Linked DNA regions of Ovis aries. Each later gene encodes a partner of the first gene's protein in a complex. Links are inferred from orthologs where the notes say so. Each region holds a gene or a part of one and is shown in the gene's direction. Other genes may lie near its edges. The genes, in order: PRMT5 and WDR77.

Region 1 (16,025 bases):
ACGTTGAGCTTTAAGCCAACTTTTTCACTCTCCTCTTGCACTTTCATCAAGAGGCTTTTTAGTTCCTCTTCACTTTCTACCATAAGGGTGGTGTCATCTGCATTATCTGAGGTTATTGATATTTGTCCCAACAATCTTGATTCTAGTTTGTGCTTCATTCAGCCCAGTGTTTCTCGTGATGTACTCTGCATATAAGTTAAATAAGCAGGGTGACAATATACAGCCTTGACATACTCCTTTTCCTATTTGGAACCAGTCTGTTGTTCCATGTCCAGTTCTAACTGTTGCTTCCTGACCTGCATATAGGTTTCTCAAGAGGCAGGTCAAGTGGTCTGTATTCCCATCTCTCTCAGAATTTTCCACAGTTTATTGTGATCCACACAGTCAAAGGCTTTGGCATAGTCAATAAAACAGAAATAGATGTTTTTCTGGAACTCTCTTGCTTTTTCCATGATCCAGCGGATGTTGGCAATTTGATCTCTGGTTCCTCTGCCTTTTCTAAAACCAGCTTGAACATCTGGAAGTTCACGGTTCGTATATTGCTGAAGCCTGGCTTGGAGAATTTTGAGCATTACTTTATTAGCATGTGAGATAAGTGCAATTGTGTGGTAGTTTGAGCATTCTTTGGTATTTCCTTTATTTGGGATTGGAATGAAAACTGACCTTTTCCAGTCCTGTGGCCACTGCTGAGTTTTCCAAATGTGCTGGCATATTGAGTGCAGCACTTTCACAGCATCATCTTTCAGGATTTGCAATAGCTCAACTGGAATTCCATCACCTCCCCTAGCTTTGTTCGTAGTGATGCTTTCTAAGGCCCCCTTGACTTCGCATTCCAGGATGTCTGGCTCTAGGTGAGTGATCACACCATCGTGATTATCTGGGTCATGAAGATCTTTTTTGTGCAGTTCTTCTGTGTATTCCTGCCACCTCTTCTTAATATCTTCTGCTTCTGTTAGGTCCGTACAATTTCTGTCCTTTATCTAGTTTGTGAATATTGTCTAGGATAGCTTTCTAGAAGGAAAATTAGAGATGGTATGTCTTAAGGCTAAGATCAAAGGCTCTGAGTCAGTTGACCTAGGTTTGTACCCCATCTAAACCCCTTCTTAGAGGGGCAAGTCACTTAACTCTCTAAGACTTAGTTCCTTTACCCATAGATTAACATTTCCTACATCACCAGGTTCTTGTGAATGTATAGTGCTTTTCATAGAACCTGACACAAAATAAGGGCTCAATAAATGTTAGCTGTTATTATTATCATCAGTTGAATTCATATATTTATTACACACGAGCAACTGGTCTATTTCTAGACTATTAGTTTAGCCTTTTTACTCTGTCTCTTCTTGTACCCACCGCACATCGTGGCCTTTTACTTATTTATACATTGCTTGTCTCATAAAGGGTTTGAAGTAATGGATTAAAAATGTAGAGCAAATTCCCTCTCCTTCCTCCTCTTTAAAAACTTTTTTCTTTGCTTTCTTGTCTGCTTTTTCTTAAAAGAAAAAAAACACAAACGCAACAGCTAAGTTGCTTCACTCGAGTTTTGACTCTTTGTGACCCCATGGACTATAGCCTACCAGGCTCCTCTGTCTATGGAATTCTCCAGGCAAGAATACTGGAGTAGGTTGCTATTTCTTCCTCCAGGGGATCTTCCCAAACCAAGGATTGAGCGTGCATCTCTTCCATCTACTGCATTAGCAGTCAGGTTCTTTATCACTAGCGCCACCTGGGAAACTCATCAGTGCATGGTAGAATCATTTAATAAAGTAAGAAAAGATTCCATTAGAATTGTGATTAAATGTAGAAAAAGTGACAAACTATTAAGAACTGACATCGTTATAAGATTCATTTTTTTCTAAGACCATGGCTTGTCTTTCCATTTTTTCAGTCTCTCTCTCTCTCAGCAAAATTTTAGGTTTTCTATATATAGTTTCTTCATATTTTCCACTAAGGTTACAGCTAAGTATTTTATGGTGATATTATTGTTACCTCTGTGAATGGGAAAGAAACTAATCACAATAGCTAATGTATACTGAAAGCTTCCTATGTGCAGAAAGGTTCTAAATGCTTTACAGTATTAACTAATTTAATGTTCATCATAGCTTTATAAGATAACTATAATTTACATTTTTATTTTGTGAATGAAGAAACTGAGGCCAGAGGGATTAGTTCACATGGTTAGTAAATGGATAAATAGGGCTAACCTCTTACCACCTGGCTCTACTGTCTCTGACCTTAACTACCATGTTATTGGGATATTTTTATTAGTTATATCTTTTAACTGGTTATTCTTAGTTTATAAGAAGGCTAAGGATATGATTTTTATATTTGTCTTGTATCAAGTGGTGTCTCTGAATGCTATTACTAATTCTCATCATTTTTGAATTGGTTCTCATGGATTTTCTATATACACAATCATATCATCTGCAAACAATGATAAATTTGCCTCTCTCTTTCTAAAAGTTATAACTCCTTTTTAAAAATTTCCAGGCTTACTGTATTGGATTTTTTTAGAATAATATTAAATAACACAGTGATGAGATAAGACATTCTTGTATTATTTTATATTTACATGAATTGTTGACTTCATACACATATATATGTGTTTATATATAAAGAATATTAAGACTATTAAGAATGTCTTAGAGGAACTTCCCTGGTGGTCTAGTGGCTAAGGCTCCACATTCCCAATGCAGAGGGCTGGGGTTCAATCCCTAGTCAGAGAACTAGATCCCACATGTGGCAACCAAGACCCAGCCCATCCAAATAAAAAAATCAATAAAATAATTTTTAAAAAAACAATGTTTCAGAAAATAGAATTTACTTACCATGTTCTCTTTGATGACTATCACAAATGATCAAATTTTTTCTTGTTTGCTTTATTTTTGACCTATCATATAAATAAATTTCCTAATACCTAACCTGTGTTAGTTCCTGGGATAAACCCTAACTGTTTCTGGTATATTATTATTATGTTAATATACTATTGACATTTATTGTTAATCTCAAATATTATAGGATTTTTACATTTATATTCCTAAATTAGGTAAATCTATAGGTTTGCTCTTTTGGAAAGGTCCTCCTTCTGACAGGTTTTGATATTAAGTATATTCTGGCCTCCTAAACAATTGGGTAGTTTTCCATCTTTTTCTATGTTCCAGAACAGTTTCTACTTTCTATTCAGTTTGACAGATAAATACTGTATAATAGAGATGACAAGGAAGAGGATGCAAATTGGCACAGATTATTTTGCCTCAGTAACTCTGCTACTTTCATAGCTGGAGGACAGCCTTGATTGTGAAGAAGCAATTTGGAGCAGTAGGAGGGTCAGACGGGCCATTATTTTGGTGTTGAAGAGTGCGGCTGGCTGGGCAGGCATAGAGGTGAGTGAAGGTGGGCCTGGGGAGGGAGACCAGTGTTGAGGGAGGAGGAGAGCCCAAGAGAAAGTGAAAGGAGAGTTTACAATTCACTGGCCGTGTTTAAATAAGGACAGAAAAACAGGAGCAGATAGAAGGACTGGGCAGCAGCTGAGGAATGCTGGAGGATTGTCTGGAAGGTGGGTACTCCTTTCCTTCCAGAAACGTTTCCAGAGCTCTGACCTGTTAGTCACTGGTTCCTGGAGAAAGCAACATTATTTCTCACCTACCAAATCTCTATCTTCCTTCCAGCAAAGGCCTACATGCTATAGCGTAATAGTGACTGACATACTTCTGAGCACAAAAGTTCAGCATGGAGAGCAGAGGAGAGGGAAGCAGAGGATAAGACAGAACTGATTAACCCTGACTTTACGCCTAGGCCAAGCCCTTTAAAAGGTTCTCTATTTCTTTTTCATTCATTCCCTTTTGCTCCTCTGTAGCTCATATAGACCCACAGTCTGTGCTGTTCTTTAAGACAAAGCAAAGTGTTGTAGGAGAAGTGGAGAGCAATGTGGTGTGGGATTACCTGGAATCGTTTGGCATCATGCTTGCCACATAGTAGAGACCATTTTGAAGGAAAAAACAAAGACATCTCAGATGAATGAAATTCAGCCAGTCTAAACTTACTTTAAGGTCAGTCAGAAATTCTAGGCTCTTTTGAACACAAAACCTTTAGAAAATTATTTTCACTGATGACAAAACTGACATTACGATTTCATAGATTTTCCTCTCTCCTTTTCATCCATGGATGGGTTAGTTAACAATCAACAGAACAGCCACCAGCCAGCCTGACATCAGGAGGAAGATGCCAGGAACACAGATGGTCCACAGCCCAGATAATTAGCTTTTTCTGAAGACGAACATCTCATAAGTCTTCTGTGAATATAGAGTTTGGTTGGGCACAGCTGGGGCAGAGAACAACAAGCAGGCTTTCCCAACAACTCTTCTTCTTCTTATAATGTCGGCAGAGAATCACCCACTTCCCGTCAACTCTCTACTCATAAGATCTTCAGGGAAGAATTCAAATAAATACTGTAGACACTTCACCTTAAAGGAGGGAAAAAATAACTCCCTTCTCCTTCAGTGTGGAATGTACATAGTGACTTCCTTCCAAAGAGTACAGGATGGAAGGGGTTGGGGGGGAGTGTAATTTTTCAGTGGAGAAACCTGATAAACACTAGTTCTACCAGGTCATAAAGTTCAATATTAACAGTCAAAAATTATGTTGATGGTATGTACTCTTGATATGCTGTGATGAAAATGGCCACTTTACCTCTGTGATCCTCCTCCCCCAAACCCATAACCCCAGTCTAATGAAAGACCCCATCAGACAAACTCCAGGGAAGAGATGTCCTTCAGCATAGCTTCCCTGGTGGCTCAGAGGTAAAAGCGTCTCCCTTCTATCTGGGTAAACCTGGGTTCGATCCCAGGAAGATCCCCTGGAGAAGGAAATGGCTAACCCATTTCAGTATTCTTGCCTGGAGAATCCCATGGACAGAGGAGCCTGGTGCTACAGTCCACGGGGTCACAAAGAGTCAGACACGACTGAGTGACTTCGCTTTCGCTTTTCTTTCTTATACCTAACCAGTATTCCTCAAAACTATCAAGGTCATCAAAAATAAGGAGTACCTGAGTAACCGTCACAGCCAAGAGGAGCGTAAGCAGATCTGACAACTATATGTAATACGGTATCCTGGATGGGATGGTGGGACAAAAAGAAGACATTAAGCAAAAACTAAGAAAATCTAAATAAACTATGGACTTTAGTTAATAATAATAATACATCAATTCTGGTCCACCAATAGTAATAAATGTATCATACTAATGTTAAGATGTTAATAATAGAGAAAGCAGTAGGAAGACATGAGAAAGCTGGCTGTACTGTACCACCTGCTCAAGATTTCTATAATTCTAAAACTGTTTTAAGAAATAAAGTCTAGTAATAATAATAATAAGATAGGGATAAAAGTACCTCCAACTCTTAAGCTCCATAGGCATTTTCTCATTTCTTTAGTTTTCTAACCTTTATCTTTTGGGGGCACGCACTAAATACATTGCACCCAGGGCTCCTTATTGCTTATCCTATCCACACCCATTCCGTATTTCTCAGAACTCTGATCCCTCACGGGCTACGTCATCTCATCCAGTCTCGTGGCTAAAGTCACTACCTCTCCTGGCGATTTCCAAATCTTGTCTGGCTCTGATCACTATTCCTCCAACTCTCTATTACACAGCGCCCCCTAGACGTCCAATTCAGCATTTCCAAACCCAAACCCTGATTCTCCCTAAAAGAGCTTCTCATTTCCTGTAGCACTCAAAGAGGCCAAAATCTTGGGCTTCAGCCGCAGACTTCCCTTATCAGGCTTCCTGTCCGTTGGTCACTAAGTTCTGTGACCTCCTGCCTCGGGCCTTCCGTATTGTGTTCTCTATCCATCCTCGCTGCCAGGCCCTCAACACCTCTGGGTCTTCAGGTTCTCTTTCTCCTCCCTATATCTTTCTTTGCTTCGTTCTTTTCCATCCCTGTAGCAGGTGTTCACAAAGAAAATGTAGAAATTCTCTAGAAAGGAAAATGTTGAGATTCTCTCAGGTCTCCGCCAGGCTGTTCATAACTCCTCTCCACTGTAATTCCTCACCATGAGTTTTTTTTTCTTTTCCTTCCTATCTTCAGTGTGTGTTTAGATGTTTATTTACTTTTTGTTTGTTTGAGATATAGAATAGAAAGGAGTTGGTGGCTAAATTGCCACAATCTATTAAAAAATATACTAAGGCCCATACAAAGCCCAATTTAGTCATTACCTCAATTTTCTCAGGATTTTGAAGGACCTAAATAGAGACACAAGAACCATCTTTGAATTAGGCAATGGAAAACGCTGACATAAAATGGCTGCAGAACGCAATAAAATTATGAGCTAAAAATGAGGGTAAGAGGAGATCATAAGGAAATTTAGAAAGGGAAGAACGGGATACTTTCAAAATACTGCTTATGACAGTATTGCATGGGATGCAACAAAAACACACGCGTCTCCCCGAGCCAGCCAGGAGTCGAACCTGGAATCTTCTGATCCGTAGTCAGACGCGTTATCCATTGCGCCACTGGCCCCGAGACGACTTCGCTGGCCCCAATGATGACACTTCAAGCTTATACTGCAGGGCTTCATGGGACGTGTAGTCTCTGCACGGAGTTCTACGAGTACACGAAGCATTATGGGAGATTAAGTTCGTCGAGAATCAGACCCTGAGATTGGTGACTGTTCCGAAGCCTCGCCGTACGTCACTGTGAAGCCCGCGGATTGGCGAGAAGAGCCACTCCCCACCCTTCCTCCTCCAGCTCTAGAGCCGTGGGAGACGCTCTGGTTGTTAAGGTGAAACGTCCCGCCTTCTGGGGGCTTTTTTCCGGCTTTGTGATTGGCTGCTAGCTTCAGGGAATCTCGGCGTGGATTGCGCGAGGGAAAAGATGGCGGCGATGGCGGTCGGTGGTGCCGGTGGAAGCCGCGTGTCCAGCGGGAGGGACCTGAATTGCGTCCCCGAAATAGCTGACACACTGGGGGCTGTGGCCAAGCAGGGGTGAGGGCCTGGACCTCCGCGAGCTGAATGCGGGGTCCGAACTCGGGGACCGAGAGGGACAGACCAGTCATCCCCGAGAGGCAGGGGTGAGGGGGTCGAAGTGGATGAGACCAGGGCGGGAGAAACCATTTAGTCCTTCGGGGGGAGAAGCCTCGGGCCCTGGAGCTTGAGAGGAGGGCGGGAAACTTATTGGGGGCGTGTGGTCACTGAACCCCAAAGTCGGAGGAGTTATCAAGTAAATTCAAAAAGGGGGCGTAGAGACCTCCAGGGCCCCGTGTGAGATTGGGAGAAATAGTTAGGAGGTTAGGGAGAGGAGAGTTAAACCATGAGGGGGGATACTTAGGCAGTACTGCTGCCGATCTGGATGTGACAGTCTCGGAAAACCAGTGACAGCAGAGTAGAAAGTCCACGTGGTGTGGATATTCATCTTTTCTCTTAACTCATCTTTTCCATGGCTGTGTCCTGGCGAGAAATTGAGGCACAGTGCAGCGGAAGTGATATGCCCCAAGGTTGGCTGAATTCAGCAGTCTAGTCGGGTCGCTGGTGGCAGCTGAAAGGGTTGTGCAGAATCAAGAGAGCCAGTCCAATTACTTGGATCTCTGGGCACTGCTGCTGTCTTTACATGACGATTCTGGGTCTGTCGCGGTTGTAGGTTTGATTTCCTCTGCATGCCTGTGTTCCACCCGCGTTTCAAGAGGGAATTCACTCAGGAACCTGCTAAGAGTCGGCCGGGCCCCCAGACACGATCAGACCTACTGCTGTCAGGAAGGGGTAGGGAGCATCCCACATGCCCCTTAATTATTAGAGGCAGTAACAACTTATGCTTTATCAGTGCCTTCCTCCTCTTCCTTTCTTCACTTGGATATATTGGTTCGCCCCACGGATATAGATAACTCCTTACCTACCTACTAAAAGCCTTAGTTCCCTATTCTGTCAGGCTCTCCTGTATCTGTGATAGAAAAAGTCTTTGTCTCATCTGTAACTCTATTCCCTGTTAAGAACTAGAAATTGAATGAGTAAAGTGCTGAACCTTATTTAGTCTTTGTCTTTCTTGGGTGGGGGAGTGCAGACTGGAATACACTAATTGTGGGAAAGCTTTCTCCATGGATTCGTCCAGACTCAAAAGTGGAGAAGATACGCAGGAACTCTGAGGCGGTAAGACTGACCTCTTCACTGACTAAATATCAGTAAACAAGTTGGGTGGGGAGAGCACTTTTTCCCCACTCTGTAACTTAGTAAATTTGATATAATGCAATTAAAGCTATTTGAGTTGCTAGCTCTTAACTTTATCCTTTTAATCTCTATTCCAGGCTATGTTACAGGAGCTGAATTTTGGGGCATATTTGGGTCTTCCAGCTTTTCTGCTGCCCCTAAATCAGGAAGATAACACAAACTTGGCGAGAGTTTTGACCAATCACATCCACACTGGCCACCACTCCTCCATGGTATGGCAAGGGCTTCCTTCCCTGCTGCATATTATGATAGTCAGGCTGTGCTAAGTATCTTCTTGTTCCTAGCCATTCAGTGAAGGGTGCATTTGGGAGAACTGAAATGTCAGTACTGCCTACCCACACTAAGAGTGGTGAGCAAAGTATTATAAAACGTATAGAATATCAGTTATTTCCCACAACTTCTAGAGATAAAAGACAACATATAATCACAAATTGGGAATAGGATATAAGGGGATTAGCTTGAAATCTGGATCAAGATCTTTTTAATTGAAGGAAGCTTTCTGGACCCAATGGGTTCAAAACAGTTCTAAATAGGGTGTGGAACCTATTTATTGTTCATGTGCAGTTCTGGATGCGGGTGCCATTGGTGGCACCAGAGGACCTGAGAGATGATATAATTGAGAACGCACCAACTTCTCACACAGAGGAGTACAGTGGAGAGGAGAAGACATGGATGTGGTATGTTTCCTTTTGCCACTGTACCTGGGGTGGAGGGAAGTACAGAGTGGAACCTGTAGGAAGGTCTCCCTGAGGTGTGGTGATTAGTGGGCCGTATGTATTTGATGGAGCTTCCCTGGTGGCTCAGACAGTAAATGGTCCGCCTGCAATGCTGGAGACCTGGGTTCAATCCCTAGGTCAGGAAGACCCTCTGGAGAAGGAACTGGCAACCCACTCTAGTATTCTTGCCTGGAAAATTCCATGGACAGAGGAGCCTGGAGGGCTGCAGTCCATGGAGTCACAAGAGTTGGACATGACTGAGCAACTAACTTCTGTGTTTTAACTCTGCACAGGTGGCACAACTTCCGGACCTTGTGTGATTACAGCAAGAGGATTGCAGTGGGTGAGTCCACAAAGATCCTGGGATAGGTTATCCTTCTCTGAAATCCTGTGACTAAAAATCAGGAGTCTCATGTATACTTGGCTGCTGGGGCATACTTTCTCCATGCTTTAGTCTGCCTTGCTCTTAAGGAGGAGACAGATCTTGCACAAAAGAGCATGCAAAGATTCTGGCCTGTATGATTGACAGGTCTTTGTTTTCCCTTTTGTAGCTCTTGAAATTGGTGCTGACCTCCCATCTAACCATGTCATTGATCGTTGGCTTGGGGAGCCCATCAAAGCAGCCATTCTCCCCACCAGCATTTTCCTGACCAATAAGAAGGGATTCCCTGTTCTTTCTAAGATGCACCAGAGGCTGATCTTCCGACTTCTCAAGGTGTGTAGTGGAAGGGTTCTAAAGGTGTTCCAGTTAATCTTGTTTTACTCACATATGTGTGATGGGATTTTTTTTTTTTTCTTTGTGGGGCTGATTCTTCCTCTCTAACTTCTGGAGCTCAATTTCAGCAAAGTTGAGGGCCTTGAGAGCAAAAGGACAAATAGCAGTAGAAGCCCCAGAACCATTTCAAAAGGAATCGGGTATCATGAGAACTTTGCCGAAAGTTTGATGTAAGAAGTTCCAGCAATGATTCATGGGGTCCCTGGGGCCAGGGTGATGCTTATGTGGTATAGGAGGGCTCCTGTTGCTTTTGTTGGTATTCAGAGGTTATTTGGTGATTTGGGCCTTATTTTATGCTGGAACTCTTTGGCCATAAGCTTCAATAATGTCCTCTTGTTTCAAGGACTGTGTCTGATGGCCTACTTATTCTCACAGTTGGAGGTACAGTTCATCATCACAGGCACCAACCACCACTCAGAGAAGGAGTTCTGCTCCTACCTCCAATACTTGGAATACCTGAGCCAGAACCGACCTCCACCCAATGCCTACGAACTCTTTGCCAAGGGTTATGAAGATTACCTGCAGTCCCCACTCCAGGTGGGTCTGGAGTGCACTAAGAGGATGGAGGTTGGGGGAGGAAATGTATCTTGAGAGTAGGTTCCATAAAATCTCACCGGAGCTCAGGAGACAGTGGGAAGGTTTTGGTGTTCTGGTGCATTGTCCTTGCCAAAAAGTGGCTAACTTACTCTGTCTTTTTCCTCTCATTCATCAGCCACTGATGGATAACCTGGAATCTCAGACATACGAAGTGTTCGAAAAGGACCCCATCAAATACTCTCAGTACCAGCAGGTACAGTGTGGGTCTCAGTGTCAGGCAAAGGGCTGGGGTGACCTGGGTGAAGATGGCATTATAGCCACAGGATCTTCCCTCCTTCCCCTCAGGCCATCTATAAATGTCTGTTAGATCGAGTGCCAGAGGAAGAGAAGGACACCAACATCCAGTGAGTGCTCTCTGCCTGATTCCCAGAGATGTGCATGCCTGCCTCTCCACATGTACAGTCAGCTTGACTGCTCCCTCTGTTTCTTAGAGTGCTGATGGTGCTGGGAGCAGGCCGGGGCCCCTTGGTGAACGCTTCCCTGCGAGCCGCCAAGCAAGCTGACCGGCGGATAAAGCTGTACGCTGTGGAGAAGAACCCAAATGCTGTGGTGACGTGAGTAGCAACCTTGATGCTGGGAAGTTTGGTCCCAGTGCCAGGTTTTCTTTCTTCTCCTGACTCGTTTCATCTGTTTCAGGCTGGAGAACTGGCAGTTTGAAGAATGGGGAAGCCAGGTGACAGTAGTCTCATCGGACATGCGGGAGTGGGTGGCTCCAGAGAAAGCAGATATCATTGTCAGTGAGCTTCTGGGGTCCTTTGCTGACAATGAACTGTCACCTGAGTGCCTGGATGGAGCCCAGCACTTCCTAAAAGGTGCCTCCAGGCTGGGGTGTACTGAATAAGGGGATTGGATTATCAACTGGGAAGGCTCAGTGGGGTTGGGGAGGGGTGGGTATGGCAGCAGCTTAGAAGAGGTTACAGAGTTTAGGGGAGGCAGGGCAGACTCGGGTCAGTGCCCTTAGCAGGTGACACAATCTCCCTGAACCTCGGGTGTGAGTGTTCACATCTGTAAAATGAGGGGAGCGGACCAGAGCAGAAACTTTAAAAAGGTATTTATTTAGTCATTTGTGGCCGTGCTGGGTCTCCGTTGCTGCGTGGACTTTTCTTTAGTCAGGGAGAGCGGGGGCTACTCTCCAGCTGCAGTGGAGAGCATACGCTCCAGCATTCCTGGGCTCCTCATCGCAGTGGCTTCTCCTGTTGCAGTGCACAGGCTCTGGAGCGCACGGGCTCAGTTCCTCCTCTGCGTGTGGGATCTTTCCAGATCAGGCATTGAACCCTTGTCTTCTGCATTGGCAGAGGGACTCTTTACCACTGAGCCACCAGGAAAGCCCCCAGAGCAGAGATTCTTAGTCTGAGATCTGTGGATTCCCTGAACTGCCATGACATGTACCTTGGACTTAGCTTTCATCATTAACTCAAAGGAAAGAGAGTTAAGGACCATTAGATTAGAATACTTTGGGTTCCTTCCGGTTTTACTCTTTTGTGACTCTAAATTAACCTGGAAGTAGAATGCCTTAGGGTATGAGCGGGGCGGGGCGGGGGGGGGGGCAGGGTGGCCTGGGCATGTGACAACATGGAGCTGCCTGGGTCTCTCTTGATGTGGGAGGTCTGGGCCTTCAGTACAGATGCACCATTTCCATCCCCTGGGAAGTAATGTGCCTCTTCTGCTCTGCAGATGATGGTGTGAGCATTCCTGGGGAGTACACCTCCTTTCTAGCTCCCATCTCCTCCTCCAAGCTATACAATGAGGTCCGAGCCTGTCGGGAAAAGGACCGTGACCCTGAGGTAAACAGCCACTCTCTTCTGGCGGTCTCTTCTCTCTTTAATGCTTTTCTTTTTTTCTGTCAGCATAACTTTCATTCCACTGGAAGAGATGAAGAGGTGAAGGAGTTGAGGATGTGGGAAAGTGACTGAAGTGAACCTACGTTTTTATCTTTGTCTGTGTCCTTAGAGCTTAAGCTGCATTCCCTGAGGAATTAGGTAGCTCTCGCCTGTCGTCTTCAGATATCATTTTCTCTCTCTTGGGACAGGCCCAGTTTGAGATGCCTTATGTGGTACGACTGCACAATTTCCACCAGCTGTCTGCACCCCAGCCCTGTTTTACCTTCAGCCATCCTAATAGAGGTGGGTTCCTGCATGGCTGTCCTCTGACTGAATGGGGAGCTCACCTCCCTGGTTTCTTCCGTTGCTGTCCTGGGTTTAGCTGGCCTCTTATCTAGGCTTTCTTTCCTGGTTCCTGCTTATGCTTTACCAAGTTGTCTAGGGTTTCTGGTTCCTCATCACCCACACAGCTCTTCCCTGACAGATCCTATGATTGACAACAATCGCTACTGTACCTTGGAGTTTCCTGTGGAGGTGAACACAGTGCTACATGGTTTTGCAGGCTACTTTGAGACTGTGCTTTATCAGGACATCACTCTGAGTGAGTGTCTGGGGCAGTGGATGGGGGTTTAAGAGTATGCTACCTGGGCAGCTTATGTATTTAATACATGTTGCATTTATTTATTTATTATTTTTTAATATAAATTTATTTATTTTAATTGGAGGTTAATTACTTTACAATATTGTATTGGTTTTGCCATACATCAACATGAATCCGCCACAGGTATACACGTGTTCCCCATCCTGAACCCCCCTCCCTCCTCCCTCCCCATACCATCCCTCTGGGTTGTCTCAGTACACCAGCCCCAAGCATCCAGTATCATGCGTCGAACCTGGACTGGCGATTCGTTTCATATATGATATTATACATGTTTCAATGCCATTCTCCCAAATGATCCCACCCTCACCCTCTCCCACAGAGTACAAAAGACTGTTCTATACATTTGTGTCTCTTTTGCTGTCTCGCATACAGGTTTATTGTTACCATCTTTCCAAATTCCATATATATGCATTAGTATACTGTATTGGTGTTTTTCTTTCTGACCTACTTCACTCTGTATAATAGGCTCCAGTTTCATCCACCTCATTAGAACTGATTCAAATGTATTCTTTTTAATGGCTGCGTAATACTCCATTGTGTATATGTACCACAGCTTTTTTATCCATTCATCTGCTGATGGACACCTAGGTTGTTTCCATGTCCTGGCTATTATAAACAGTGCTGCAGTGAACATTGGGGTGCACATGTCTCTTTCAGTTCTGGCTTCCTTGGTGTGTATGCCCAGCAGTGGGATTGCTAGATCATAAGGCAGTTCTATTTCCAGTTTTTTTTAAGGAATCTCCATACTGTTCTCCATAGTGGCTGTACTAGTTTGCATTCCCACCAACAGTGTAAAAGGGTTCCGTTTTCTCCACACCCTCTTCAGCATTTATTGCTTGTAGACTTTTGGATCGCAGCCTACATGTTGCATTTAGAGTCAAAAGGAACTGAGCAGTCAGTGAATGGAGATCTTTGATGACTTGTTTCCATGTTTACAGATGAGACTGTCCTCAACCTAGGCAAAAAACAGAGTCATGGAGACCTCATTTTGTTGTTGTTAATTTTTATTGGAATATAGTTAAAACAATGTTGTGTTAGTTTCAGGTGTACAGCAATCAGTTATTCTCAATTTTTATCATTATTTTGTCCACTTAGGTATCCGTCCAGAGACTCACTCTCCCGGGATGTTTTCATGGTTTCCCATCCTCTTCCCCATTAAGGTAGGTATCACCTTAAGGCTCCTTGGGTTAAAAAGTAACTTATGGCATTGATGTTCTGCCCCTTTCCTTCTCCCAGGATAATGCTTGGCTGTGACCCTTGTTCTGCTGTTCTCACATGCATTTGTAGACGTTGGGATATTTGCAGTGGCCTTCCACCTGGCTTCCCACATCTACTTAGGCTATTCTTCTGTTCATTCTGTACCTGGAGCAAGAGTCATCGTATAAAAGCACAAATATGATCCTATCTCTGTCTCCTGCTTCTAAAACCCTTCAATATCTTTCCAGTTCCCTTAGGATAAAGTCTGTTTTATTATTGGCCTTGGCACATGGCATGTGGGATCTTAGTTCCCTGACCAGGGATTGAACCCACGCTCCACACAGTGGAAGTGCAAAGTCTTAACCACTGGACTGCCAGAGAAGTCCCAGGATAAAGTCTTAAATCTTCCTTAGACTTGGTGTGATCTAGTTTTCACCTGCCCTTTCAGCTGCTGTCCTTTGTTTACATCCCTTCAGTCCTTGGACCTTCTTTTGGTTCCTCTAATACCCCATGTTCTTTCCTGCCTCAGGGTTTCACACTTTTGTCCTCTGCCTATAAAGTTCTTGGCTCATTTTCTGACCCAGGTGACTTTATCTTCCAGGTCTTACTAGACATTCTTATTGTCAGATAATTTTCCCTGACCTCGTAGACTAGGTTAGCATTACTTTTCATAGGTACTGTCCCTGTTTACAGCATTCATCCTACTTTTGATTATTTGTTCAGTGTCAGATTGTTCAGTTCTGATGATTTGTTCTGATAGACTTCAAACCTCATGAGGGTTGGAATGTTATATTTGATCATCATCTCCACACTTGGCTTAGTACCTTGCCACATAAAATTCAGCAGTTCCACCCTGAACTTCCCTCTTTCTTCTTACAGCAGCCCATTACTGTGCGTGAAGGCCAGACCATCTGTGTGCGTTTCTGGCGATGCAGCAACTCTAAGAAGGTGTGGTATGAGTGGGCTGTGACGGCACCGGTCTGCTCTGCTATTCACAACCCGACAGGCCGCTCTTACACCATTGGCCTCTAGCCCTGCCTGCAAGTGTCTGGAGCCGTGGAAGCAGCTGCAGGTTCTGTTCCTGTAGCACAGAAGGTGCAGTACACCATGGGCTCTGATTTGCCATGCCCATCAGAGAGGAACATTTCAGTCTGCTTTCCTACCTTACGTCAAGATGGCAAAGGAGGAGAATTGGGCTCACAATACCAATCTGTGAAGACTTCAGGCTTGAGCATGAGGAATTCATGTTGGATCTGAGGCTACTCCAACGGGCACTCAGCCTCAAGGGCTCCCTGGGATAGCTCTGAGAACATGTGAATTGAACAAATTTTCAGCCCTCTTCCCTGTCTATCTCTGTTCCTATTTTGATGGTTTTGTGTAAGGAGGAAATACAAATAAAATGAGGTTATGGTCTTTCCTGCTCTAACTCTGCTGCCCCCTGCCTCTGCTTCTTCAACTATTACTTACACGTATTCAGATCTATGGTCTTATCCAATACTTGAAGGGGCCTAGGTTTACTTCCTATTTAAGAAGCTTAGTGGTGACTCTTGGACTCCCAGGTACAAGTCTTTCTGAGCAGCTACAGCGAGGTCTTGTCCTTTAGGACCTGATTAGGTTGTTTTCTGGGGAGGAGGCATGGAGTTTGCTGCCACGGAGAGAGATGGGGTAGTGAGTGAAGCCAGCTTCCCTTCCACCTTCCTGAGCTGCTGCACTACCAGCTCCTCTGTTACCTCTTGGGAGCGTTAACTGGAAGTCATCCACACTTCTCCAGCAATAAGCCATTTATTTTGTTAGGGTAAAATCACAGGATTAGAGTTTGAAGTCCTAAGAGGTAATCTAGATCAAGTCTACATTTTTACAGAAAAGGAAATGGTATAATGATAAAAAGTTAATATTCAAATCAGTACTCAAATGGTTCCTGTGAGTTCATGGCCGTCTCCCATGTTTTAAGCAGCTACGTTTTTGGCAGCTGTATTAGGCAGTTGAAGTCTCTGGGAGTTCTGGAAGCTCCTGGAATGTGAGGGTGGACGTCAGATAGACGGCTGAGTA
Region 2 (15,469 bases), on another chromosome or scaffold:
CAAGCTAGGCTTCAACAGTATGTGAACTGAGAACTTCCAGACGTTCAAGCTGAATTTAGAAAAGACAGAGGAACCAGAGATCAAATTGTCAACATCCACTGGATCATAGAAAAAGCTAGAGAATTTCAGAAAAACATCTACTACTTCATTGACTTATGCTAATGCCTTTGACTATGTGGATCACAGTAAACTGTGGAAAATTCTTAAAGAGATGGGAATACCAGACCATTTTACCTGATAAACCTGTATACAGATCAAGAAGTGACGGTTAGAACTGGGTGTGGAAAATTAGAACTGGACAGGTTCCAAATTGGGAAAGGAGTATGTCAAGGCTGTTTATTGTTACTCTGCTTATTTAACTTATATGCAGAGTACATCATGGGAAATAACAGGCTGGATGAAGCACAAGCTGGAATCAGGAGAGAGATCAATAACCTCAGATATGCAGATGACACCCTTATGGCAGAAAGTGAAGAGTAACTAAAGAGCCTCTTGATGAAGGTGAAAGAGGAGAGTAAAAAAGCTAGCTTAAAACTCAACATTCAGCAAACGAAGATCATAGCATCTGGTCCCGTCACTTCATGGCAAATAGATGGGGAAACAATGAAAACAGTGGCAGACTTTATTTTCTTGGGCTCCAAAATCACTGTGGATGGTGCCTGCAGCCATGAAATTAAAAGACGCTTGCTCCTTGAATGAAAAGCTACAATAAACCTAGACAGCGTATTAAAAGCAGAGATATCACTTTGCCCACAAAGGTCCAATATAGACAAAACAACTTTTTTTTCTAGTCATGTATGGATGTGAGGGTTGGACCATAAAGCAGGCTGAGTGCCAAAGAGTTAATGCTTTGGAACTGCAGTGCTGGAGAAGACTTTTGAGAGATCAAACCAGTCAATCCAAAAGGAAATCAACCCTGAATATTCTTTGGAAGGGCTAATGCTGAAGCTGAAGCTCCAGTACACTGGCCAACTGATGCAAAGAACCAACTCATTGGACAAGACCCAGATGCTGGGAAAAACTGAAGGCAGGAGGAAAAGGGGACGACAGAAGATTTGATGGTTGGATGGCATCACTGACTCATCAATGGACATGAGTTTGAGCAAACTCAAGGAGTTAGTGAAGGAGAGGGAAGCCTGGTGTGCTGTAGCCCATGGGGTCACAGGGAATTCGATGTGACTTAGAGACTGAACAATAGCAACAACATACTCCTTGCTTGGGGGAGCTTGAAGGTTTTGGTCCCAAAGGAGAATAACTGTGTGGGTAGGATATACCCGTCCCAAGATTCCAAATTGGTGGAAATTTCTAGCAAAATTCATAACAAAATTAAGACATGAATGAAACTGTTTTTCTCTGTATCCACCCAACATCAAGGATGATATTGATCTTAAAGATGATGCTGAAACCAGTCTATGCTCTTTCCATTTCTTCCCAGTTTCTTACATGTCTTCATTCTGCTTTCTTTGTTTTGAATGTCAGACTTAGTGGAAAAACCAGTGGAGGGTTTCATGTTTAAAAAAAAAAAAGAATAGAGGTGTTGGCAGGCATTGCATGGAAGGATAAAGCTGGGACAATTAATGTCCAAATAACTGGGACTATTTAATAATACTAAACTGTGTGCTGTTCATATCATTGTGGAGGTGTCATCCTTGTCTCTCAAGAACTTAGCATCCTAGAAGTGAAGTGCTGTCTTGGTGTAACCCCAGCTTGTTTCCTTCACCGTCTTCCCCACCCTCAACAGGTGCTGTTGAATTGTGGGAGCTGGATGAGAATGAGACGCTTATTGTCAGCAAGTTCTGCAAGTATGAGCACGATGACATCGTGTCTACAGTCAGTGTCCTGAGCTCTGGCACACATGCTGTCAGTGGTAGCAAAGACTTCTGGTGGGTCCCCACTCTCATTGCTCCTGTTTCTGGGCCTTCTTTGGGTGTCTTAGGTGTCACATTAGCCTCACTAAGTAATGTTTTGGGCTCATTATAAGAACCCAGTGACTAATTATGGCATACCTGTAAGGTTTCTTGGACTTCCCTGGTGGCTCAGACGGTAAAGCGTCTTGCTTACAATGAGGGAGACCTGGGTTCAATCCCTGGGTCGGGAAGATCCTCTGGAGAAGGAAATGGCACCCCACTCCAGTACTCTTGCCTGGAAAATCCCGTGGACAGAGGAGCGTGGTGGGCTGCAGTCCATGGGGCTGCAGAGAGTCGGACAGGACTGAGCGACTTCACTTTCACTTTCATAAGGTTTCTTATAGGGTTTTCTTAGAGATTTTCAGTCCATTGTAAAAGTAGACTGTACTGGTAGTCCCGTAGACGACAGAGATGGAGGAATACATATTTGAATACGTGTTTTTATGTATATAGTATAGGTCAAATGAAGTCTCTGTTTCCTTTGCTTCTTAGCATCAAGGTTTGGGACCTTGCTCAGCAGATGGTTCTGAATTCATACCGAGGTGAGTGCATCTTCTTTCCTTTTTAGTCCCTGTTGTAGCTATTCTGTTTTTATTCTCTCCTTTGTGCTCTTTGAGCTTTCCTTGGATGTCAGTGACACCAATTCTTTGCTCTCCTGCCTGGTAGTTTTCTTCCAAAACTATGGTCAAGTCCCAATGTCGACTCTAGCTCTTAATCTCCCTATATCTTTTTAATCGATAGGCTCATCACCTTCTTGATCACCTGAGGCTCAAACTCTCAGTCCTCTTCCACTCCTCCTTTTTCCTTCTATCAGTTGGTCCCCAAGTTCTTTGGAATTCTTTTCCATTTGGTCGCTGACCTTCCTTTTCATTTCTTATGCTCCCGTTTACATTCAGTCTTTCTCTCGCCTAGACTGTGGTACTCATGTCATCTCCTGACCTGTCATCTTTGGCCTTTCACTGGTTTCTTGCAGCTTGCAGGTTGATATCTCAGGTTTGTGTCATGGCATTCAAGCCTCTTTACTGTCATTCCTCCTTCAAGCATATCGTGCTACCTAAATCCAGTCACAGTACATCTGAGGCATTCTTCAAGTATAAACTCTGATACTCATGAACCTTGAACTTTTTGAGTATTCCTATCCATAAATTCTTGTTTTTGGAGGATGAGAGCCATCATTTTCTATTAACTTTCCTCTTTTTGCTCACTTTCATTAACAGCAGTAGCAGTTAACTTTGTTTGGGGAGCCATTCTTCATGAAGATACCAGATCTTAATGAAGATAATGTATAGGGCATTAGTGTATGTGTGACTGAAAGACGTAGACATAGGTGATAACTAGTTCCCTCACTGCCTATCTCTGCCAATTCTAACTGCAAAGTGTATGATTCAGATACGTGCAAAGCAAAACCACAAACTCACACGTCTCCTGGAGTTTCAGACAGTTAGATAATAATGTTAAAATGCCAGTGTTCAAAGTCTACTATATTAGCCTTTTCTTTCATAGACATATGATATGCTTTTCTGGCCAATGCTAAATAAACACTTGCTCCTTACAGCCTTTTTTATTAGTTCTTTTTTTTTTTTTTTTCTTAATTTAAATTAAAAAAAAAATTGAAGTATTGTTGATTTACTGTGTTGTGACAGTTCTTTGTGTTTATTCGTATTCCCCCCACTGATTTCAGGTTCCCTAAAGGCAGAGGCCCCACGTAGCTTTTCATCTTTCGTCCTCCCCGATGGTGCTTGCCCCAAAGCTTTCTTTCAAGTGAGCAGTACATTCCTGTTCTTAATGCTGGCTTTCCGTGGATTCTGTGGAAGGTGGCTTGAACCCACACTTCTATCTCAAGGCAGAGCCACATCTATCTTAGACTATGGTTAAATCACTTTGGAGAAGGTGGTTTCCACAGCCGGTAATTAACATTTAGAATGACCTTTAACATTCTTAGCGTGCAGCCCTAAAAGAATTTTGAAAAACTGTACCCTTTCAAATGTTTTTAAATTAGTACCTAAATACTTGTGTTCGTGGTGTGGCCAAGAAAGGTCAGCCTCCTTCACAGAATTTTACCCAGATGCTCTTTCTTTTCTTCTTTGGCTCTTACAAAAACCCTCTTTTGGTTTATTATTTAGGTTTTTATGCTCTGAACATCACACCACGATACAGTTTGGGGAGGAGGAGAGGTGTGTGTTTCTTTTACACATGGGAGACGGGTGACTGAGAGTAGAGGTCTGCAGTGCTGGCAGACCACAGGCAGCTGCTTGGTTTGGTATGGGGAGAGAACTTTGGAGAAATGCCCTTAAAACTCCGAGTGTCCAGGACTCCCTTGCAAGTCTTCGCACGCTACCTGGAGGCACGTGTGCTTGTGCTGTCTAGGCTGTCTCTACTGTAAATCCCTCTACTGATCAGACTCAGCCTTTACCATTCATGTCTTTCAGTTCTGTTCCATTCAGTCGCTCAGTCGTGTCCGACCCTGTGACCTCATGGACTTAGTACGCCAGGCTCCCCCGTCTATCATGAACTCCTGGAACTTACTCAAACTCATGTCTACTGTAGCCGTTCATTTTCCTGCAAGTCTACTGAGGTTTTATAATGCTATCAACATTTCCTCTTAGGTATCCAGACTCTCATGGAATTTCTTCATTTGCATCATTTGACTAGCTAGGGCTAGTTCTCACAGCCTCCCTCCTACCCCGTCATAGTATCTGGGCTTCTTGATAAGATTGCTTTCATCTCCTCTGTCATACTTCTTGTTCTCTCTCCTCTACAGCTCACTCAGGGCAGGTCACCTGTGTTGCTGCCTCTCCCCACAAGGATTCCGTGTTTCTTTCATGCGGTGAGGTAAGATATAGCGGCTTTTCCCCTTCCCATCCCTGACCACACTCGAACCCTTTAGACCTAAGTCTAGCATGGACAGCTTCTGGCCAGCAGCTATTTTTGGATTGTGAAGCCCTTTTTCTATTCCTTCTTCTAGGACAATAGAATTTTACTGTGGGATACCCGCTGTCCAAAGCCAGCATCACAGATGGGTGAGTCTGAGAGCTGGTGGTGGGATGATGGTACTAGGAACCCACCTGGAAGAGACCTCCCTTGGCCAGAGTCAAAGGCAAAGCTACCAGATGCCCAGTCACTGACATGAATGATCTAATTGCTTTCTTTCCCACTGAGGTTCATGTTGTGCAGTGGGTCCCAAGAGGAAGGGCTAGTTCTTGAGGGTGGGTGTAATTGATATTTCCTGGATGGGCGAATAAAGGGGCCAGAGTTGTCAACTTCATGCTTTACGTTGAAACTTGCCTGTGACTCAGGTCTGGAAAGAGCAGGAGGCTGATAGGTTGTGAGGGTCAAGAGTGAGGATGGGACTGCCTTAGCAGAACTTGGGAAACTGAATTAAGGTGCTCCTGGGATTTAGAGTGACTTCACCACCAAAGCTTCTTCTCAAAGCTGAGGTCAGAGTTTTGTTCCAGACCCTTCTTCTCTCCTTCACAGGCTGCAGTGCCTCTGGCTACCTTCCTACCTCCCTGACTTGGCATCCTCAGCAGAGTGAAGTCTTTGTCTTTGGTAAGGCAGCATGTCCAACTGTGTGTTGACTCTGGGAAGGGGAGAATAAGCAAGAAAGACACTCCATGGTGCATGGGGCTCTGGCTGCTCAGTCTGTCAGCACACTTGAGCTCTCAGTGAAGTACGCTAATGGGTGTGTGCAGAGGTAGGATGAGCCAAAAGTCGTTTTAGTTCAGCTTTAAAGAACATGGTAATTTTTATTCTAGAAGATTTGATTCCTGATTGTTTGCTGTGGCTCTTACATTCACGGCTAGAAGTCAATGGGCCACAAAGCAAGAGGACTGTTACCTAGGGAATCCTATTGTATAGTAGGGAATGGTTATGCTAACATGGTGATCTGGCTGTGTATTCTGTGATGTAGTTTGTAGTTAACACAACAGTTATCTCATCCAGTAGTTTTAATTTTCACAACCCTCAAATGACTAATTATTCCTACTTTACCAAAGCGGAAATGGATGCTCAGAACAGTTAACTTTTTCAAGATTGAAGAACCAGCATTCAACTACAGATCTGGCTAGTCCAGAGTCCATTCTCTTAACCCCCTTAACATACTGCGTCTTCTTCCTTCAGGTGATGAGAATGGGACTGTCTCCCTTGTGGACACCAAGAGTGCAAGCTGTGCCCTCAGCTCTGTTGTGCACTCCCAGTGTGTCACTGGGCTGGTGTTCTCCCCACACAGGTACTGCTCTTTGTCATCAAGGGCCTGGTAGATACGAAAGGGAAGAGTGAGGGAGAATACTTGTGTTGGCATAGCATTAGCTGATGGGTAGTTCCTTAAAACAGACACTGTTTTAGCTGAAGACCTTAATAAGTGAAAGATCTCTTAAGACTGTAGTCCGTTTTTTGTGTTGTATGGTCTCTGACTGCAAATGGCTAAAACACGGTCTTGTTCCTGCTCAGCACCCCAAATGACTTATGCTGTGGGCTTCTAGGGCTGTGTGGTTGGAAAGCCTGTGTTTCTGGGTTATTGCTGAAGCTACAGGGAGGCACCAGATGGGATGGTTAGTTGCAGGGATGGCTCTCTGTGCTAGCTTTGCTCCGTTTTCCTCATCTTCCCTTGAAACTTGTACTGTAGACTTGGTAGTCAGGTTTTAAACCAAAGTGGGGATCAAGCTACCTTCTCTGGTCACTTTAGAGTGGGGTTTGGGGACTGCCTAGTCAAATTTTGTCCTGATACCTATGAACTGATCTTTTGCAAACTTCTTCTCTCCTAGTGCTCCCTTCCTGGCCTCTGTCAGTGAGGACTGCTCACTTGCTGTGCTGGACTCAGGCCTTTCTGAGGTGTAAGTGTGACACGGACCCTATGATCAGGAGTCATGGAGGGACCAGCAGATGGCTGGGTCTCTTTATCCTTGGGAAAAGCACGTTGTCTCTTTCAGGGAGACTTGGTGATGGAGGCAGGCTAGCTGTTGACTGTCTCCCTGTTCCAGGGCCTGACTCCCAAGCTCTGGGCCTGGTAGAGGAATGTGGTGTTGGGTGGGATTCCTAAGCCTGGCATTCCAGTGATCTCTCAGAAAGGGACACTGTGTGCTTTTTGCACCAAGTACCACGTGTAGGAATGCAGCCTGCTATAGGATAAAAGGCCCCAGACACAAGATCTGAGGGTACTGCCTTCTTTGCCATGAGATGCTGTCTGACCCTGACTCACATCATACCCTTGCTCTAGCTGTCATTTCTTCTATGAAAATAGGGCACTGGATTGGATGATGGAGTCGTCTTTGCCTGGCTACACTGATGGCCTGATGACTAGGTCATATATATGGTGAAGTGGGTGCTTTCCATTTCTCCTTTTTTCTTCTGTCTCTTACCAAGCCCACACTTTTCTTTGTTCTCTTGTAGGTTTAGAAGCCGAGCCCACAGAGACTTTGTGAGAGATGCTACTTGGTCCCCGCTCAATCACTCCCTTCTTACCACAGTGGGCTGGGACCATCAGGTCATCCACCATATCCTGCCCACAGAACCTCTCCCAGAGCCTGGACCTAAGAGTGCTGCTGAGTAGATTGGATTTCAGACAAGAAGTGAATCCCCCATGAGTATCCACGCCCTTTGCCCCTGCCCTCTCAGTTTATGAGACAACAGAGGAGCCTTATGCAGTATGTTGGTACACCACATCTGTGCAGTTCAAAGGCGCTGTGTCTCAGCCTAGGGGAGGCTGGATCCTGGGGTCCTGTAGTCAGGGAAGAAAAATTCCCTTGAACATGGATGTGTGTGTGTGTCTGAGTGTGTGTTTAGATACGTAGTCTTTGTAGGTGGGGGAAGGGAGAAAAATATCCATCCCGTGTCTTCCCAGAGCCCAATCCTCCCCACGCCCTAAAAATTAGCAAGGGATTTTTATGCTTCCCGCTGTAGCTGTGCATTAGGAATTGGCCATGTCTGAGGTACGGGATGTGGGCATTCCTGGATTCTCGGAAACTGCTCATAGAGATAGGAGCAACTTTATTTTTTTATAGAGCTTAATTCAGCTTTATCATGAGCAGTACTTCCATTTACATCCAGTCCAGCCCACCTTAAGGAAGAGCCAGGACACTCACCACAGTTTTATGCATCTCCTTGTTATTAAACCGAGCCAGAAGTCCAGTTTCTGGCCGAATGAGAAGTTTGGCTGGTACCCATGTAATGCCCCTCACTGCCGCCGCCCCCGTGGAGTTGTGTTGATGAGGATGCATGTATTTCTGTCGTAGATGCCATAGAAGAGGTTCAGGATGGAGAGCTTAGAAGCGGTTCAGTTAAAAACTGACATAGACCTACATAGGGATGTCTGCCACCTTCCCACCTGAAAACAGCCTGGGGCCTGACCTTTTTTGCCTCTGGGTCCCTATCTCTGGACATAGGAAACCTGAATGCTATTTTGGGGGACTCTGAAGAGTTTAAATACAGCATCAGAGAGAGAAGTACCGGTCAGTGAAATAAAAAGTTGATTCATCGTTGGCTTGTCTTTTGAAGCATGTGTGTTATGTGCAGTTAGACATGTCACTTACATGAGTCATCAAGATATCTATCTTAGAGCCCGTTACTTTTTCATGTGCTTCCCCAGCCCCCCAGAGTAGCTAGTTGAAACTTAAGGTAAATATTTGTTTACTGAATTGGTGGCTGCTGCCACTTAGAAGTTATGGATCAATTACTGATTGTATTGAAACTAAATTAAATCAATTACGTACTTTTGTGCTTTGCAAGTTTTGTTTAGCTAAAATCTCATGAAACTGGGGTAGTTTCTTGGGTGAAGGATTTGTAAGTAAAGCTGCTGTGTTTCACCCTTGCTGAGCATGAGCTCTGGTCTCACAATTACCCTCAAGTAAAAACATGGGACTTTGTTATTAGATGGTCTACCTATTGGGTTTGGGGAGAGGTGAGAATGAAGCCTTCACTGTTCTTCCATGTGACTTTTTAGAGAGGTAATAGGGTGTGTTGATAGAAACTCTTTAAGTTCTTCCTGGAGATAAAAGCTTAAAATTTGTTATCTCTTAGAGAGAGTGAGGTAGGTAGGAATTAAATTTGCATAGGCCTGTTCCTCATGGACTTTGAATAGTGGAGAGAAAACTCAGTGAATGAGATAATCCAGGGAAATGAATGTATTGTGTCAAGGTGGTTAAAATGACACCAAAGGAGAAAACCTAGAGTTTGAAGAACCACTTTACTTAGTGTGAAAAATATTAGGATTCAGATAAACCTGTGCTGATTCAGATAAACCAGAATAATTCCATCGATGGTCATCACCAAGACATTTGCAAATGTAATCAAAGTCATGTCAGAAATGAGCGTCCAGTTTTGGTTGACTGTGTCTACTATGGTGAGAAAGAAGATTGTTCAAGACAGAAGATGACCTCAGAATAATCAGAAATGTACTATCACGTGGGGTTATTCACTAGTCTTTTACTTGAGAATAGTTTCAGTAGCAGGAGCACAGGTTTGCTGATAACAGGTGGAAATGGGCTCATTTTGTTTTGTTTAAAACCATACAAGTATCTATTTTGTGCTTAATTTCACTGGTTCACATGTCTGAACACCTGCAGTAAATCTGTCTCCGTTTTCACTGTCTTCACTCAAGTCCACTAACCTGGTTGACCGTATACCACTGCTGATTTCTAGTGCTCAGAGCAATAGACACAGGTTGGCTCAAGTACTGTTTCAGGTAGCTCCAGACATCAGGTTCATTCTCCAGGATCTGTCCTGCCCCACAAGACAGTAGGAGGCTTGTCTTTAATTATTAGCTCTGTAGGCATTACCTGCTGGTTCACAGTCTCACTGAGGCAGCAGAATCACCCAGGCTCTGACTGGGCGTCTAGTCATATGTACTCTGGGCAGTGTGGTAGGGCACAAGATGGGGAGAGCGAGAGTGGGAAGATGTATATTGTTATTTCCCACTCACTCAGTTACAGAGGGCTTCAAAACTTCCTTGCCACCTCTAGACCTAAAAATGGGCTCTGAGTTTTTAAAAGGCAGATTTGTGGCATTTGGACAGCATAAGCAATATTAGTATTTCCGTGGTTGCTTGACTTGTATCTATAAACTAAAAGAATAGGAAAAGAAAAAGAAAAGCTCATTCCAAATTGTTATGTAAGCATTTCTTTCAGTAAGATATACACCGAATATTTGTATGCAGTCTAGGGAAGTTTTAGGGCATCTAAGGAGAGCCAACAGAGTGTGAAAAGCTGAAAGAATTCACATCAAGTTGCTGTTTATACATCTGGGTCATACTGAACTTTAGAATCACTTGTGCCGGGAACTGATTTTGTTCCCCAAAAGGGTAAGGAAGCTCTAATCTGATTTTTGAGGTGACTAAAGTTTCTGACGAGCATCAGCAGTCTATATAGCTTGATTTTGGAAGAGTAAGCAGACCAGTTTTGAACCCCAACGTTTCCTTACTGAGTTCTCTTACCACAAATGGATAGCTGTGGAGTTTTTCATCTTCATTATGTGGTTATAGGACGTGTACTATCCAGAGAGTGAAGGAGGTGCAGAGATAAGGACAGGAAATGTTAACTCATTTTCAGTTACAGAGGCATTTAAGGTACAATTGCTGATCCTAAAATCTGTGTCGTCTGGAGTAGTAAGGTTTACTGTAGTCCTCAACGTATTCTGAAAACTCTGCTTGTCTTGTAAATGATGTTCTGCTGCTTCAGTGTATAATAGATCATCAAAATTCAAAAGGTCAGTAATAAAGGGCTTCACCTCCAAACGTCATCCTTTTAACTTTCTGGTGTGAGCTCAGCTGGCGCTGCTGGGTGAGAGTTCCTTCAGTGAATGTAGATGTTTCATTATCACTGTGATGTTGGGTATCAGATGCTGGTATACTTCACTTTGGGATGAACCACGTTATATGCATTAAGAGCTTCAATTTTAAGCCAAAATTTTCCATTCCAATAGTAACCCTTATCTTAGGTGAAAGGAATGAAGCTTGTTTGAATTAGAAAAGTGCTTGACATGTACAACCTAAATCCGCTTCAAGCTCTGCAGATTTTTAACAAGCAACTTGTGTCTCACAGAAGCCCTCTGATTAGGTCAGAAACTACCTGATGTTCAGTCCCCTGACCATTATCCAATGTCAGTTTGCCTGGCAGAGTTTGCGTTAATACCACCCTTGACTTCAGCACCTAGAGACGCAGTCTCTTGTGCCCAATGCCAACCCTGGGCCCCTGTTGCAGACTCCACTTGGCAAGGTCAATGTGTGCCTTTTTGTTTTCTCTCAGTTGTTTTTCAAACAACATTAAAATACAAAATTTTAAGTGTATAATTCATTGGCATTAAGTACATTTATGTTGTGCAACCACTATCCCTCATCCCAAATTGAAACTTTGTATCCATTAAACAGCTCTCCCAGACCTTGGCAACCACCCTTCTACTTTCTTGTCCATGAATTTGACTGTTGTAGGTGCTTCATATGAGTGGAATTATACAGTGTTTCCTATGTGTCTTATCATTTGATTTGCTAAGCTGTTGCCTTGCTCCTCAAAATGTGGTCCATGGACCAAGCAGCGTTGGCATCATCTGAAACTTGTTAGAAGGACCAAACATTCACACCACCGAAATCAGAGTTTATATTTTCACAACGTCCCCAGTGACTCCTGCATGTTAAAGTGGGAAAAGGACCAACTTTGATTATGACCCCCTGAGAATTTTAGATGGTCAGGAACCAGGCAGGGACGTCACCAGCAGTACATGAGAGGAGAGTTTGGTGTGTCAAGCTTTGGGGCTTTGTGATGTGTGGTAGTGAGCCAGATAGACATGGTCAGCTCAGCCTGCAGCAGCTAAGTCTAGAGAGAAAGAGACAGGATGGAATTAGTGTTTTAGCGTTAGCCAAAAAAAAAAAAAAAAAAAAAGACTGCTGGAAAACAGAGATTGTAGCCAGTCATGAAGAAGTAAATCTTCCCTGATGAAGTGACATTTGGATTGAGTCCTAAAGGTTGAATGTGGAGTCGCTGTTGCTTGGGGCTGGGGAAGAATTCCAGACATGTGAGTCTTGCTGTGGAAGGAGCTTGGAGTTCCCTAGAGAAAGAGGTATTGCAACTAGGGTTAAATGGAGGTGGAGGGTACAGGATAAAAGATGAGGCTAGTTGCCACTGGATGGTGGGTGCTGTGAGCCATGCTGAGGATCTCAAAGCAGTAACATGTTGGAAGTGCTTTTGAAATGGATTCCATTGGTGTGCTTTGTGGAGGGGAGACTATGGAAGCTTAAGGGTGACGAGGTTTTTATGTATTTTTTTTCTTTGATCTCAGCCACTAGGGTGTAGGCAGCTGAACTAGACTTGGCCATTTGGCTGTTCCCATCTGGAATAGATGGAATCTATTAAATTCTTAAATCTGGAGGCAGAGCTGCAAAGATTTAAAGAATGGTTATCTGGCAATGACGAGGATAGCTCAGTAGCAGCAGCACCAAAGCCAGCAGTAGAATTCCTAACCAGACTTCCCATGGCAGGACTCTGGCGATGTTGTGTGTGTGTGTGTTTTTTTTTTTTTAACTTGAAGGATAATTGCTTTACAGAATTTTGTTGTTTTCTGCCAAATTGTTGTTGCTGTTTTTAATAAATATTCTTTCTTGGATCCTGACTATGTTTTAAGATAGATTCTTGATATTGAGCTGTATGAACTGTTTATAAATTTTGGAAATTAACTCCATTTGCAAATATTTTCTCCCTTTCAGTAGTTTTTTTTGTTTGTTTCATTTTGTTGACTTCCTTTGCTGTGCAAAAGCTTTTGATTAGGTCCTATTTATTTTTGCTTTTATTTCTTTTGCCTTAAGAGACAGATCTAAAAATATGTTGCCATTTATGTCAGAGTATTTTGTCTGTTTCTCTTCTAGGAGTTTTGTGGTCTCAGGTCTCACATTTAGGTCTTTAATCCATTTTGAAGTTATGTTTGTGATCGTGTTTGAGAAAGTTCTAATTTCATTCTTTTACATGTAGCTGTCTAGTTTTGTCAGCACCGTTTATTAAAGTGACTATCTTTCCTCCATTGTATATTCTTGACTGCTTTGTTGTAGGTTGACAAAATATGTGGATTTATTTCTGGGCTGTCTATCCTGTTGCATTGATCTGTGTGTCTGTTTTTGTGCCAGAACTATACTACTTTGATTAATGTAGCTTTGTAGTATGGTCTGACATCATGGAGTATGATACCTCCAGCCTAGTTATTTTTTCTCAAGATTGCTTTGGCAACTTGGGTCATCTCTGGTTACTTGTTCTTAGTTCTGTGAAAAATGTCATTGGTATTTTGATAGGTATTGCATTACTTCTTTAGAGTCCCTTTGGTAATATGGACGTCTTAACGTGTTAATTCTTCTAGTCCAAGAACATGGAATATCTTTCCATTTCTTTGTGTTGTTTTCAGATTCCTTCATCAGTGTTTTATAAAGTTTTCAGAATGTATGTCTTTCACGTCCCTGCTAAGTTTATTCCTAGTTATTAATACTTAATTATTTTTGATGTGATTGCAAATGGAATTATTTCTCCTTAATTTTTCTTTACTTCTGTAATTTTCATTATTACAAACAAAGAACCCAATTAAAAGTGGGCAGAAGACTTGGAAAGACATTTTTACATAAAGATATTTAGATGGCCAACAGGCACATGAAAAACAGCTCAGCATCACTAATTATCAGAGAAATGCAAATTGAAACCACAATGAGATGCCACCTCACTCCTGTCAGAATGGGTTATCACCAAAAAGTCTACAAATAACAAATGTTGGTGAGGATATGGAAGAAAGGAAATCTTGGTACAGTGTTGGTGGGATTGTGAATTGATGTAGCCATTATGGAAGATAGCATGCAAGTTTCTCAAAAACCTAAAAATAGAACTACAGTAGGATCCAGGAATTCCGCTCCTGGGTATGTATCCAAAGAAAACAAAAGCACTAATTTGAAAAGAATCTTGCACCTTAATGATCAGAGTAGCATTATTTACAATAGTCAAGGTATGGAAGCAGTCTAAATGTCCATCAATAAGTGAATCCGTCCATGGAATTTCCCAGGCAAGAATACTGGAATGAGTTGCTGTTTCCTTCTCCACAGAATCTTCCTGATCCAGGGATCGAACTGGCGTCTCCTGCAACGCATGCAGATTCTTTATAGTCTGAGCCATCAGAAAAGCCCGAATAGATAAAGAAGCTGTCATATGTTTACATACAATGGAATTTTACTCAGTCATAAGATGAAATTCTGCCATTTACAACAATGTGATGGACTTAGAGAGAATAGTGCCTGGTGAAATGTTAGATGGATAAAAACAAATACTCTTGTTATCACTTACAGGTGTAATCTAAAAAATAAATGAATACCAAAACAGACAGACTTGCAGATATAAAAAACAAACTAGTGGCTACATGGAGAGGAGGAAGAGGGAGGGGCAAGATAGGGGTATGGGATTAACAGACACAAAATACTATGTATAAAATCAATAATCAACAGGGACATATTAGCACAGGGACATAGAGCCATTCTTTTGTAATAACTTTAAATGGGCTCTAACCTGTAAAAATATTGAACCACTGAAACTAATATTATAAATCAGCTATATCTTAATAAAAAGAAAAAAAAAAGACTGGTTGTACAACATGCCCATTGATTCCAACAGGCTTCCCTCTTAGTTTGTTTGCAGTGATTTAGCCAGAGTTGCTGTCTGTTGTTTACAACTCCACCACCCTGACAACTACTGTCTTGGTCAGTGGGGAACAACTGACCCTCACGAAGAACAGCTCGTGCATGTTCTGTGAGGTTGGAAGTGAAGTAGCTGTTGTCAAGGGTTATGGAATTGTTCTGCGAGCTCACCACTGTCATCAGGAAGAACAGCCTCTCTGTTGGTTTCTGTGAAGGGTATTTGTTTTTCTTGTTCTGATTGTGCTCTGCTGATTCCACCTCCCCTTCCCCAAGAGTCTTTCTGGTCCCCTTCCATTCTGTGTGCTGCCAGAGAGGCTGAGTAGCTGCTTATTACCGTGGACTTTACTAATAGTGTAGCAGGTGCGTTTGGCTGTCTAACATCTATTTCCCTCCTTCAGTCTTTACTAACAGAACTTTGATCTTATCCAGACACAGGTGGCCCTGTCCTATAGAGAAGGAACACATTAGAGAAGAATTTGGGTCTTGGATGATGCTGCTGAACAACTGAATTAAGCAGTGCTGATTAATCCACCTCTTCTGGGTTTCTGTTAATGTGAGTTAATAAGCTTTCATTTTGTTTGAATGCATCTAGTAAAGTTTTTGTTGCACCTAACAAATGTAAATAGTTAATGATGCATTACATTTTTGACTGTGTGCGTGCATACTCAGTCACTTCACTTGTGTCTGACTCTTTATGACCCTGTGGACTGTAGCCCACCAGGCCTCTCTGTCCATGGGATTTTCCAGGCAAGAATACTGGAGTGGCTTGCCATTTCCTTCTCCAAGGGACCTTCCTGACCTAAGGATCGAACCCAGGTCTCCTGTGTTTCTTGCATTGCAGGCAAGTTCTTTACTACTGAGTTCTGGGGAAGCTCCATATTTTTGTGTATGTGTCCTTTAAACACTCTATTTAAAGTAAAAC

The links.
Region 2: PRMT5 (region 1) and WDR77 share a complex: the UniProt entries of both Homo sapiens proteins name them as parts of the methylosome complex. The link is inferred for Ovis aries from reciprocal best matches to the Homo sapiens genes PRMT5 and WDR77.

The regions. Positions count from the first base shown.
Region 1 is NC_056060.1:21,727,274-21,743,298, forward strand, and holds PRMT5 (protein arginine N-methyltransferase 5), read left to right. Parts: upstream 1-6,853; 5' UTR 6,854-6,867; coding exon 6,868-6,977; exon of another isoform or gene 6,978-7,004; coding exon of another isoform or gene 7,005-7,063; intron 7,064-7,629; coding exon 7,630-7,748; intron 7,749-8,046; coding exon 8,047-8,132; intron 8,133-8,287; coding exon 8,288-8,422; intron 8,423-8,774; coding exon 8,775-8,887; intron 8,888-9,219; coding exon 9,220-9,269; intron 9,270-9,477; coding exon 9,478-9,641; intron 9,642-10,076; coding exon 10,077-10,238; intron 10,239-10,413; coding exon 10,414-10,491; intron 10,492-10,583; coding exon 10,584-10,642; intron 10,643-10,729; coding exon 10,730-10,852; intron 10,853-10,934; coding exon 10,935-11,110; intron 11,111-11,972; coding exon 11,973-12,082; intron 12,083-12,327; coding exon 12,328-12,421; intron 12,422-12,602; coding exon 12,603-12,719; intron 12,720-13,874; coding exon 13,875-13,939; intron 13,940-14,855; coding exon 14,856-15,008; 3' UTR 15,009-15,402; downstream 15,403-16,025. UniProt on the Homo sapiens protein: Arginine methyltransferase that can both catalyze the formation of omega-N monomethylarginine (MMA) and symmetrical dimethylarginine (sDMA), with a preference for the formation of MMA.
Region 2 is NC_056054.1:88,855,987-88,871,455, reverse strand, and holds the end of WDR77 (methylosome protein WDR77), read left to right. Parts: intron 1-1,741; coding exon 1,742-1,883; intron 1,884-2,399; coding exon 2,400-2,449; intron 2,450-4,668; coding exon 4,669-4,739; intron 4,740-4,872; coding exon 4,873-4,927; intron 4,928-5,384; coding exon 5,385-5,456; intron 5,457-6,026; coding exon 6,027-6,135; intron 6,136-6,670; coding exon 6,671-6,739; intron 6,740-7,295; coding exon 7,296-7,455; 3' UTR 7,456-11,284; downstream 11,285-15,469. UniProt on the Homo sapiens protein: Non-catalytic component of the methylosome complex, composed of PRMT5, WDR77 and CLNS1A, which modifies specific arginines to dimethylarginines in several spliceosomal Sm proteins and histones.